Linked DNA regions of Caenorhabditis elegans. The protein of the gene in region 2 interacts with the protein of the main gene of each other region in a biochemical or structural test. Each region holds a gene or a part of one and is shown on either strand. Other genes may lie near its edges.

Region 1 (6,249 bases), on a different chromosome or scaffold from region 2:
ATTGACAAGGTTTGTAAACTTGAAAAGCTGCCGCATATAGTTGATGTATTTAAGAAAATTATTTTCCAACATACGATTTTGAAGTTAACATATTTTTGTGGAGTCATGAGAACTGTCAATGAAAAACGATCAAAAATGATGAATCCAGGGGGACAAGAAATATATCCAGATGTTATCTTGCAATTATACGAAAAGTCAAAAAGCACCTTACACAGGATATGCTGCCAACCATTAGATAAGCTTCTTGAGTGGGAAGTGACAGATGAGGAGTACTGTTTGATGAACTTGCTATTCTTCTGTAATCCGGGTGAGAATGTTTTTTGATAAGCAGTATTATTTTCTGTACATAAATAGTAGTTTTTTCAGCGATCCCAGAAATATCAGAGGATGCAGTCGTAAAACTATCAAGGCAACAAAATATCTACAGCAATGCTCTTTTTACACTTTGTCAACGGAATAATGAACAAACGGCTCCAGAAAGGTTTTCGAACTTTATATCGTTATATCTTACAATAACTAAGAATTCACAAGAGATGGAAAACTTCTTCTTGATATTTAACGTTCATTCTCCTGATTTTGATTTTAAGAAGCTGGTTCGAGAAACTTTCCACTTTTAAAATAAATTTTATCGTGAATAGGTAATAATTTGTTCGAACTTTTTGTATATGTCATATTTTCCAATTTTTCCTGTCATACAATCCATATTTAAGTTATATTCCGATTTCTGAATAAAATCTAAACAAAATTTTCAGGACTTACTGAAATCAAAAATCGAATCGAAACAGTAAACATGTTTCTAATTTTATTCAAAATCTGAATGTTTTCGTAAAATTTGAAATGTTAGACTCTCGATCTATAAAAAATACTTCTGGTTTGTGTTTAGTCTATCACAAGTTTTTACATACACACAACTTCAAATGATAATTATAAGGGTGTTACAAAGTACAACGGGTTATGGTGAAGCGTCGATGATATAATCTAATCTCACATACTTTTAGTTTTTGCATGAAGGTGGGCTTTATTATTCAAACATTGTAGGGATTCAAACATCCGTAAGTGCTATAATTTTCTCAAAAAGTGACAAAAACTCAGTAATTGCTATTTTTCCTGAAATAAATATTTGGAAAATCAGTTTTTAAAAATGAACATGTTTATTTTCACACTTTAACCCGCTTTTAATTTATATAATTTCTATTTTAATAAAAATTAATTAATCACAGCATATCCACCCTGGCACCCATTATCAAATTCTGATATCCAATAAATAGTTTCTTCTCTTCCTTGATTTTTTTCGCTTTTTCATCTCCGTCACTTCCACAGGTGAGACATTTCAAACAAGGATATTCTTTCACTAATTGTTTTCTGAAAAATATAATGTTTATATCATAGTGATGATAGGACAATTACCTAAAATTGGGGCTGCAAAGTGAGTACACAACAATTCGAAGAAGTGAGTTGACTGCAACCAAAATACTGACAGCGTCTGATGCGAAAGTGTAAAATTTCGTACTGAAATGTTTTAATTTAAAACATTTATTTCAACAATAATTTTACCTCGATCCATCTTCCTGGAAAAGAAGTGTGTTTTCCGGCCAAACATTTTCCAATATTCCTATAAACAAGGAAAGAGACGAACAACAAAGGTAAGTTGTTGCAATTGAAACCATTGTCCATGTAGCATACCGTAGCTCATCTCTTCGCCTCTTGTTTGAATTGATAGACTCTTTTCGAATCATCTCACTAACTTTTGGCATATCAATAAATGTTGTGACCGCCCATCCAATTCCAGTCAATTTCCTTTTCGTAACAACGACAATGGAAATATTGAGCATCAGTAGAAGAGCAAATGGTACGAAAATGTGAAGAACCGTCATCACATAAAAATTGAACATTTGATAATGTTCCCAACTGGCAAGAATGGGTGTATAGTCGTAGTTTTCATAAAGAGGGCAATCGGGACGGTATGTGATGAAATACTCAAAAAATGCTGGGAGCCTCAGAATTGCAACACCTAGGAAGGTGATTCCAATAGTGACAAATCGGCCTGTTGACCTGAAAGTAAAAGGTTAGGATATAAAAAGTATAGGCATTTAAAACTAAAGTTTACTGATATCAAAATAGAGGAAGGTGCACTAAATCAAATAGTTTCACCGCAGGGGGTTTTCCTAGTTTTTCTCGCAATTTTTTAGAATGGATTCTTATTCACCGGAGAAACTGTTTTGACTCTCTTCGAAGTCGTAAAGAAAGAAAATTGAAAAAAAGTATGGGTACTGAGTATTTCACTTACGAGATTAAAAAATCGAGTGAGTTTATCTCGGCCACCACAATAAATCGCTCAATAGTAGCACACAGAATTATGTAAGTTGATGCAAATTGGACTGAAAATAGGCTATTTCGTTCTTTTGACTACTTTAATCTTTATTCTTACCAAGCCTACTCAGTCCAAATACAAACATTGCATAATCATGCCAAATATGATAGAGAAACTCATTTTTGTGGTAGATTGCTAATGCGTCAACTGTGAAAAAGGGAATGTAGAGGAGATCCATTAAAAGATCTGAAAATTTGAAAATATAGAAAAGTTTAAAAAGTAATATTTAGTAGAAAAAATATTCTCAAATACTCACCTAGCACTGCTAAAAGAAGTAAGTATAAGGCTGGTGATTTCGTCGACTTTGACTTGGTGAATAGTCTCTAAAATTTGAAAATTACAACATTGATGAAATGAAATTCAAAAACTCACAAATAGTATCCAATTGCAAATAACTCCAGCAACTGCAATCGGAGTTCCAACGTATACAATAAGTGCGTATCGATTAAAGTCATAAGTTTCATTTCGTGAACATTCTGCTACTTCTTCTGTAGAGTTCGTCACAATATCTGGTGAAATCGTACTCATTTTGAATCTGAAACGTGGAGAAGTTAGATGAAAATAGATAAAACAAAGTGCTTTTAAAGTAAGTTGAGTTCAAACAATCCTGAAAATAGGCGTCAGAGAACTGGATGATATCAGAGATTTGGATAAAAATTATAAGACGATCAGAATGAAATGGAAGTTTCATAATCCATGAAGCTCTGTACATCTATCACTTTTGCAAACGTCAATCCGATTCAAATCGGATCGTGATCCATAAAACATTATGCCCCGCCTACAAAACTTCTGTCAAGCAGAAAGTGTTCATATGTCAAGAGATCCGGAAAGCATTCGTCAATATAATGAGCAGGAATCATAGGATGTATAAGCAGAAGTAAAAACAAAATCATACTGTAGTGGCGGAAGCAAAAGTGATTTCATAGCGGCTGAAAGTTTAAACAAGCATTCGGGAGTTCCAGGAATATTCAAAGAAGGAAATAAGTTTTATATGCAAGGTGGGATCATAACACACTTTACTATTCTATGAAAGTTGTTAGAAACTCAAATTTTTAAATGAAATTATGGAGTTTTTGAAATCTCGACAATGATCATGTAAAGGTTACTTTTAAAAAACATTGTGTTCAGCAATACATTTTTTTGATTGCCGTATAGGTATGACATTTGATTGAATAAAAACAAGGAACGATAAAATGAACACCACTTGGTTTGCTAATGATCATAGATACAGGTGATTTTAATAATTGACTCTGAAAACTGAGGCACCCAAACCTCAAAAGTAACCATAAATGACGGAGGTGGTCTTGAAAAACCCCGTTTTCATAAATTATTTGAGTTTCGGGTGATGATTTCAGTTTCATGAACCAAAATGATATTGGCTGCATTCTATAAAATTAATTCAATAAATTATCGTGACGCGAGAAAACATTTCAAACAGTTTTTAGAGAAGTTTTTCTTCGAAATAAAAAATGTTTCCTTTTTAGATATATAAAAATATTTGATTTAAATAGGGATCTGCAATTATTTTAAATAAGCGCGGGAGGAATATAGTCAGCTATCATGACAAGATTATATCTCAAAGATTTATTGGAATAGTTGTTACAAAATCCGATAAGCATAAGATTTCCGTCGAAAACTAAGCACTGAAAAAAGTGAGGAATTTTGATCGCGGTCACAATGAAATATCTCTTATAGAAACCTAGAAACGTTTAGAGCCAGATGGAACAGATTGAAATAAATTACGTTTGTATCAAAAACATGTGGGATTGGGAAATAGGGAAAATAGGTCAGATCAGTGGGATCATGAAGTTAGAAGATCAAGAATGAGAATGAGTTGGATCAAAAAATGAAGAAAATTCGTGACAGAATAATTTAAGGAAATGAAAGTGAGAATGTAGTTGACGAAAGAGTTATGAATTTTTGACAAATTATACTTTCGAAAATTTCTAGAGACGAGAAATCAAAGGCGCAACGTCTTTGAATAAAAAAGTTTTCAAACTGGGTATTAATTGTCTTTTTAATCCTAAAAAATGGCATTAATGTCTATATTTAAAATGTTTGATGAAAACCTCCATTTTTAGGAATTTAGAGAGTACTCCGGGAAGACGTTTTTCAGCTGCTTGATAACAGGACATTTCAAAAAAAAGTCTGGCATTTAACCAACTTGTGAATCAAAATTCAGGTGCAATTGACGCATTGTTCAGTCGGTCAAACCAAATGATTTTTCACATTTCCTCAATAAAAAAGAGTCATTCAAAATGAATAAATGATGTTCCCATTTGGTTTGAAACATAATTCACGATGGAAAATTTAGCAGAGAGCGTCGGGAAAAAAAATGATGATGTAGATTTGGAAAACTTATGCAACATTTTTTCTTGTTGTTGCAGTGTGAAAAAAATAAATATTCGAAAAACTCCAAAGGAGTAGGATGCAGAATCTAAAAATTAATTTTGGCTATAATGGGCGTTCCTATCATAACAAATTGGGAAAAACTAGAGAAGAGCAAATTCTGAGAGTGGCATTAATATTAATGAGGTCACCGTCTATATACTATTGTTTTTTTTTTTTACTTTTTAAAAAGTTTAACATTTCTGACAAAATTCCCAACTAGTCTTTTTTTCAAACGGAACCCCAATTTTTTTTCAATAAAAATTTTTGTGCTCTGATGAAGCTTACAGTTAAAATTTATTTGTGTAAAATTAAATAACGTATACCGCAAAAAACATGAGAAAAATAGAAGGAGATTGAGTTAATTTTCAATTTTTGGGACCGAATCCACTGCTTCGTTTTCCAACATATCCATATGGACTTCCATATTCATATCCTCCATAATATTGACCAGGATACCCATATCCACCATATCCAACGTTTCCATACCCTCCGCCGTACACTCCGTTACCGTAGTAACCACTAGCGGTTGGGTAGCCACCGTAATACTGACCAGAGGTAATGGTCAAAATGGTAAAGATCAGGATTAAACTGGAAAAGTTCTAATCAATAATCGGAAATTGAATTTGATCTACTTACAGTTTGGCATTCATTTTTCAGAGTTCTTAGAGTGAATTAGGTGAATTAGTTCAGAAAGTTTTAATGAAATAAACTAAATTTCTATTTCGTTTTATACTACATTTCCTTATTTATTTACTCTTTTTTCCAGCCAAAACAAAAGTGAAAACTGTCAAAATTAATCTATTTGCCTTTTACTTTTCCAGAAACAAATGCCAGCAGAACTGGTTTTCTTGTTGATTTAGTTTTCAAACGTAATCAAAAAATTCTCCTCCATTCTCAAGAGTGACCAGATTTTTTCTTCTGAAAATTTGATTCCAGTAGAACAATTTTTAATTAATAAGATAGCGACGTTCTATTGTTTTTTGTTATTCATCCAACAAAAACAAAGACAGCAAGAGAACTGGAAGGGAGCGCAAGATTTTGACATTTGTGTACTTTTCAAAGGTTTTTGAATATTTCAAAAGATTTTGTCTGGATCACTTGTTTCAAAAATGTTTCTAAAACGTGAATTTTATTTCTGATCTTCACTATTTTGTGATTACGGTAGAGGTTTACTGTGAGTACAACTCCCTATATGTGACTATTTACTTTAATATGCAGTTGCAATAAAAGAAGAGAATTCGATATTGTAAGTTTAAACTTTGAAAATCTTAGGGAAAAACAAGATAGATTCTGCTTGCAAATAATGCTTGGAAGTGGTGGACAGCTTCCAAAAGTGACGTGGAATAAGAATTCGAGGAAAAATACAGTGAAAAAGACAGGTGATTCTTCTGCATTTTTCAGGAATTTAAAATGGAAAAAAAAAACAGAAAGCATAGAGTTTTTTCTTGAAAATGACGTGACTTGAAGGTTTGTGAATCAAGAATTCA
Region 2 (5,676 bases):
TCTGTTATCAAGTGAATTGTTTTTACTTACTTGATAACCCACAAAATTAGTGAAAATCTTGCTGAATGAACAAAAAAATCTGAAATTGATAAAGTTAGCCGCATTAGCCGAATTTCAGCCGACCGGCTAACTCGGCTAATATTTCTCTAAAATGAGCAGTTTTCCAGGTTGATCAAGCTCTTCGTGATGGAGTTCGCAGCAATGAGTGCTCAAATGGAGTCTGCATGAAAATGATTTTCCAGGAAAAAAGCGGTGAGATAGATCAAAATTAATTGTTTATTTTATTTTCTTTTTACTTATTTTAGGAATCAATCATGTTTGGAGAAGTTGCATACCAAATGCAAAAGAACAAATCCGATCAGACTGTACAAAAATTACTAGTGGAGAAGGTATGTAATATTCAAATTGTTCCATATAATAAAAAAAAAATATATATATAACTTTCAGGAAACCTTGAAGTTTGCACATGCGATGGTAATTTATGCAACAATGACGTCAATTTAAATCTAATACTAATAATTATGTTTTCTGCAGCTGTGTTATTATTATGATGAGTTGTTCATTAAACCTACATATCGGAATCAAATCAAACTTAGATCTCTATTCTTTTCATTTTCCATCGGTTTTATATAGAACTTTTGCCGAAGTATTTTGATTGCATACCAAATAAATGTTTTTACGTTGTTGGAAATGTTTATTAAAATTTAAAGGAACACAGAATAGCCAAAGTGTTTTTAATTTCCAAATTTTTTTTTACTCCTCGAACAGTACCCTTGAACTTCAGCTCGCTATTTTGAATATTCCTGTCACGAAGTCGGTGAATACAAAGATTCACTCGCTCACGACTTATTAATAAATCTAAGGATTTATTAACAAATGATTAAATGTAAAGATTGATTCATTGTTATTACGTAACACTTGCTCTTCAACACTCAACATCATCTCTTCAATCAACGGCAACAACCATGCAGAAGGACGGCGTCAGAAACCCCGATTCAAACTACCGCCAAAAGGACGATTCAAGGCGCATGAGGTCTCGCCACGACACATACAACAACGACTGCGACCGTACTCTTGTCATCATGGCGCAGCGCACATTGGCCTATATCGTCAGTCTTCATCGGTCTTCACCACCGCAGCACGTGCCCGACGGTGGCACGTTTAAATGAATGTTGAGTGTTAGTGATTCAAGGTTTTCCCCTTGAATCACTCGTAATAAATGAGTTAATTAAATAAGAGTCTTTTGTTAGTTCCTATCAGTACCTCATGGGCCGGAAACCACTCCGAAACAATTCCCATAATTTTATTGTTTTCCATTTTCCAGGAAAAAAAACAGTTCTTTGACATTTTCAAGCCAAAAACTATGTGTGTTCCGTCTTAAGACCATGCATTGGAAATTACGTTCGTCACTATTTTTGTGTGTATGTGTTTTGGATTCCTCTTCTCACATTTGCGGTCACAACAGTATCGTTCATCGGTTTTTATGTTGTGATAAAATAGAGAAAAAGTAAAACGAGCATATTTTTGATAGCGGAAGAAAAATTTTGAGATTACATATAACAAAGCGGAAAGTGATTATCAAATGTCAAATTATCAAATAATTTGGAAGCTTTTCAATTCAATATACAGGGTTGATTTTCAATAGGTGGTGCAAGTAAAAAAGAAATACTGTATTTATATTTAAAGATAAATACATTTTGTTTAAACACGTAAATATTGTTTCAAGCTGGCCGCATATCAAAATAAAACCGTACAAAAACTTTCCAGTTTTTCTTAATTTTCAGTCAAGGTTTTAGTAAAATAGCGAGGCGACGAAAATATATAACTTTCCGAGAAGTTCAGAGCAGTTAATAATTATTATCAACTTTTTACAGAATGGTTTACATTTTTTCAACATTAATTATAGTTAAAGGACAATACATTTTTCAAAATATTCACTGTAAATATGAATGAATACTTTTGGAAAATAATCAAAAAGCTGACTGACTACTGTTAAACAATGGCGGAGTGATAAACTAGCAAATTCACTTATTATGCACATAATTATAATGCAGGATAAGATGACTGACTTTCAAGACATTCACTATTTAATGATTAGACTTCCATTTTTGACCATCCCATTTTGACATAAGAACTCCTTGATATTTTGTTCTCTTTGAAAAGTCTTGTTTTACTCTACTTTAAATGAATTCATTTTCGTCATGGACGATCTCTTCAAAAAGTATGTGGGCACCTTTACTTTGAATACACGCAATCTTCACCGTAGTTTCATGTTGCTCGAATGAATATTCAATGATTGGAGGGCAAGATTTATGAAGAGATTGCCGTGAAATCATTTTGCGAGGCGAATCATCGAGGAAGCAACTGATTCGTGATGAATAATTTGCGCGGTGGATAAGTTTTTGGTTTCAAAGTACCCCCCCCCCCCCCCCCCGAGAAGAGGTGGAAAAAAGTTGAAGAATTAGATGAAGGAGAAGTCCAAGTGTTACGTCAACAATTTACAAATGCATAGAGTTGGTATAATTAGTTTCGGAGGGTGTCGGTGGCTAAATTTATCTGTTAGTTACCTCCCAGCATGAATTCCGTGTATTCACTGTGTTCAGTCCCTCGACTGCTCGGTTATACAGCTGATAGATAGACGAGGAAGAAGAAAACACACAAAAACGTAAAGTGGGCCTCTTTAAAAAAATTTAAAAAACAAAATAAGGACACAAAAATATAAATATGCATTGTTTTCATTTTTCAAAACGAGGGTAGCTTCGAGAAATTTCCATTTTCAAATCAAACGAATTGCTACAACAATGTCAAAATGTTAAAATTTTTCTTGGTGGTACTGTATGACTCTAAAGTTTGATCTGGAAAAATTTGTTTTTTCGTAGATAACGTTTCTTACCTAAAAAGCGGTTTTTAACCTGATAGTTGAGATAACCTGGTTTATACAATAAATTTTCAAATGAGATAATTTTTAATAACTTTAAAAAAAAATTTTTTTATATCGTTGGTTTTCGAAACTTGATTTTCAGCAAATTTTTAAAATTTGAATCAACTTGCTCTCAAAGACACGTTTATTGTCTTACGACTTTTAAAACCGGAGTAAATTTAATTTTTCGATGAATCAATTTCAGATAAATCTCAGAACAAGCACTTTACTGTTTCTTACTTGTTTTATGCAATTTACCATTTCAAGTTTTCTATGCCCCCGCGTTCTTTTACCAAACGCCTTCCAGTGGACACTCTAGAATTTCTTCAGCACAAGAAGGCGTGGCCTCTGAAAAGGCGGAGCAAAGTGCGCGGAGCCCAAGTTAGTGGAGAAGACGGACCAGTATATAAGCCACGAGCAGTGCTCAGTCCACACTTTTCAAGTAGAAAATGCTCTCCGGAGTCCTTTTTTCTATTTTTGTACTCGCCATATCGGCCAACGCTAGCTGTGATGTGTCCGCACTGACCACCGAGAATGAGAAGGAACTCGGACTCCGGATTTGCCATCTTGAGGTATGTTGATCATTTTTTTTAGTTTCCAAAGTGGTTTTTTATTCCTGTAAAATCTAAAATGTTTTGCAGGCGGAGATGCAAGTCGTCCAAAGAGCCTTGCAGGAGGTGATGCAGCAGACAGATGTCACACTGTACGATCAAGAAGTTCCGGTGATGAACAAGCGTAAAAACGAGTTTATCCGATTTGGAAAACGCAGTGACGGGTTAGTACATATTTGGTATTTGTCGGTCATTTCAAATATCATTTCTTTCTCAGAATGGAAAAACGAAAGAACGAGTTCATCCGGTTTGGAAAGAGAAAAAATGAGTTCATCCGATTCGGAAGATCCGATAAGGGACTTGGACTCGACGACAACGACGTTTCCAGTGAGTTTTTCGGTTACACCTCTGATGTATTTTATCTGTAAGTGGTTTTGCAGTGGAGAAACGAAAGAACGAATTCATTCGATTCGGGTGATTCGCGTTCAGAGATGGATGTGTGCTTCTTGATGATTTGGGCCAAATTGTGTTCTATACTGATAATGTTTTGTTAGATTTCTTATTCTCCATGCTAATTTTTTTTCTTTTATCTCTGCAAAACGTCAGTTAGAATAAACTTTCATTGTTTTTCTGGTTTTTTTTTCTTTTTTTTTCCATCTTATCTCAATTTTCACAAGACTTGGATATTCACAGGCTTGATGTATGAATTGCATAATATGTCCCAGCCGAATGACCAAATCCGTTTTTTTTCTTTGTATGACCACTCATCGTATTCAAATTTGCTTACAAGTACGCATGATCCCCCTGCGGGCGCGCGCATCAAACAGACGTAAGACCGGTTTTCGAGGAAAAACTGTGTATATCTTTCTATCCGAAATCCTGTGTCATTGAAATATTTCACAATTTGGATACAATTTTCTCGGCCCAAACATGTTGTATAGTCAGTGAGAAGAAGAAAAGTAAATTTTTTGTTGAAATGAGACAACATATTTCATGTTTCGCTAGGCTACGAGAACGTGGGACACTTGTGATTTTTTTTTGCTTGACAAATGATGGGGCCAAGCGATTTCAAGAAGTCTAAACAAGATAATTTTGGCGTCATAGTTTTTGATAGAAGATTTTTTGAAAATTAGAATCAAGATGGTTCTATTGCAGTACATTCAAAAATAGGAGTGGGCTTCAGCCGAGTTTCACGATTGATAGTTCAAGAATTTTCTCTAAATTAAAACACATAACTATACTTTCAGTTCCCACTAAACTGAAATTCTCAATGCTTCAAAACTGCTTACCGTTTTCTACTAAGTTCTTGATAGCTCAGTCGGTAGTGGTGGTCGCTAGCAATCTGGAGGTCACGAGTTCAAGTCCGGCCTCACTCCCTAGGTTCACCCAGCCTCCATTGGCAAGGTGAGCAATCCATAACTGGATTTTCCGCCACAGTCTCCGGCTAGGACGTGGCTTAAATTATAGCCCAGTAGGAGCACCATCAGGCAGTGTACCTGGCTCCTAGATCCGCAGTGCATCGCACTTGAAGAAGGGATCGTCTTTTAATCCTTTAATCCTTTTTTATACCTTAAAACTTTATTTTTACTATCTGCAAAGTAAGTTCATCTCAGATTTTCTAATTAAAAAACCCCTGCTTCGTTGTCGTAATAATGCGTCATCTCAAAGTTATTGAAATTCCGCCACTTTTCTTCTGGATCTCACTTTCCACGGATAAAAAAGAAAGCCGAAACTTTCTTATTCTCATGCCTCGTCACCTCCGAAACTAGTCCGATGACTCAATAATTCGGTGAAGAATGGCTTGCCATAATAAAAAAAAATTGGGCGATATAGTCAACGGCAAAATTTAAATTCAAGGTGTATACTTTAAGCAGAAATACTTGGTCAGTGCAAATTAATTTTCAGTTCACTAAAAATTAGTCAAGCGGAATCTGGTAAACAATTAGGAAAACAAACACTTGAGGACGGAAGATTATCCCTGAAATACTTTTCTTTTATATTGTTGTAAAAATTCTCAAGACGCTTCGAAGAATTTCGGAAATGTTCGCAACACAGGATAAACGAGATGTTGACCAGCTGTGGTGGAGGTATGGGCTATTGCCATTAGTCGCACTTTAGTCGATGATGATGGCAGACAATTACCGTCCTATTGACAGCTAGTTTCTACTGCCCGCCGCTACCGTCACCACGTAATCTGGCCACGCT

The links. The genes of interacting proteins can lie anywhere in the genome.
Region 1: the proteins of flp-8 (region 2) and npr-39 interact in a test that uses a peptide from one of them, tested with the Caenorhabditis elegans proteins (one large-scale study listed by BioGRID).

The regions. Positions count from the first base shown.
Region 1 is NC_003283.11:10,063,737-10,069,985, reverse strand, and holds npr-39 (G-protein coupled receptors family 1 profile domain-containing protein), read right to left. Parts: upstream 2,918-6,249; 5' UTR 2,900-2,917; coding exon 2,744-2,899; intron 2,695-2,743; coding exon 2,628-2,694; intron 2,558-2,627; coding exon 2,429-2,557; intron 2,379-2,428; coding exon 2,288-2,378; intron 2,053-2,287; coding exon 1,555-2,052; intron 1,510-1,554; coding exon 1,408-1,509; intron 1,363-1,407; coding exon 1,215-1,362; 3' UTR 618-1,214; downstream 1-617. Other genes in the region: nhr-192 (Nuclear receptor domain-containing protein), read left to right, coding at 1-9, 55-307, 367-617; fipr-13 (FIP (Fungus-Induced Protein) Related), read right to left, coding at 5,128-5,350, 5,399-5,412.
Region 2 is NC_003284.9:14,878,169-14,883,844, forward strand, and holds flp-8 (FMRF-Like Peptide), read left to right. Parts: upstream 1-3,250; 5' UTR 3,251-3,369; coding exon 3,370-3,492; intron 3,493-3,561; coding exon 3,562-3,695; intron 3,696-3,748; coding exon 3,749-3,899; downstream 3,900-5,676. Other genes in the region: sssh-1 (UPAR/Ly6 domain-containing protein qvr), read left to right, coding at 168-252, 306-389, 448-551.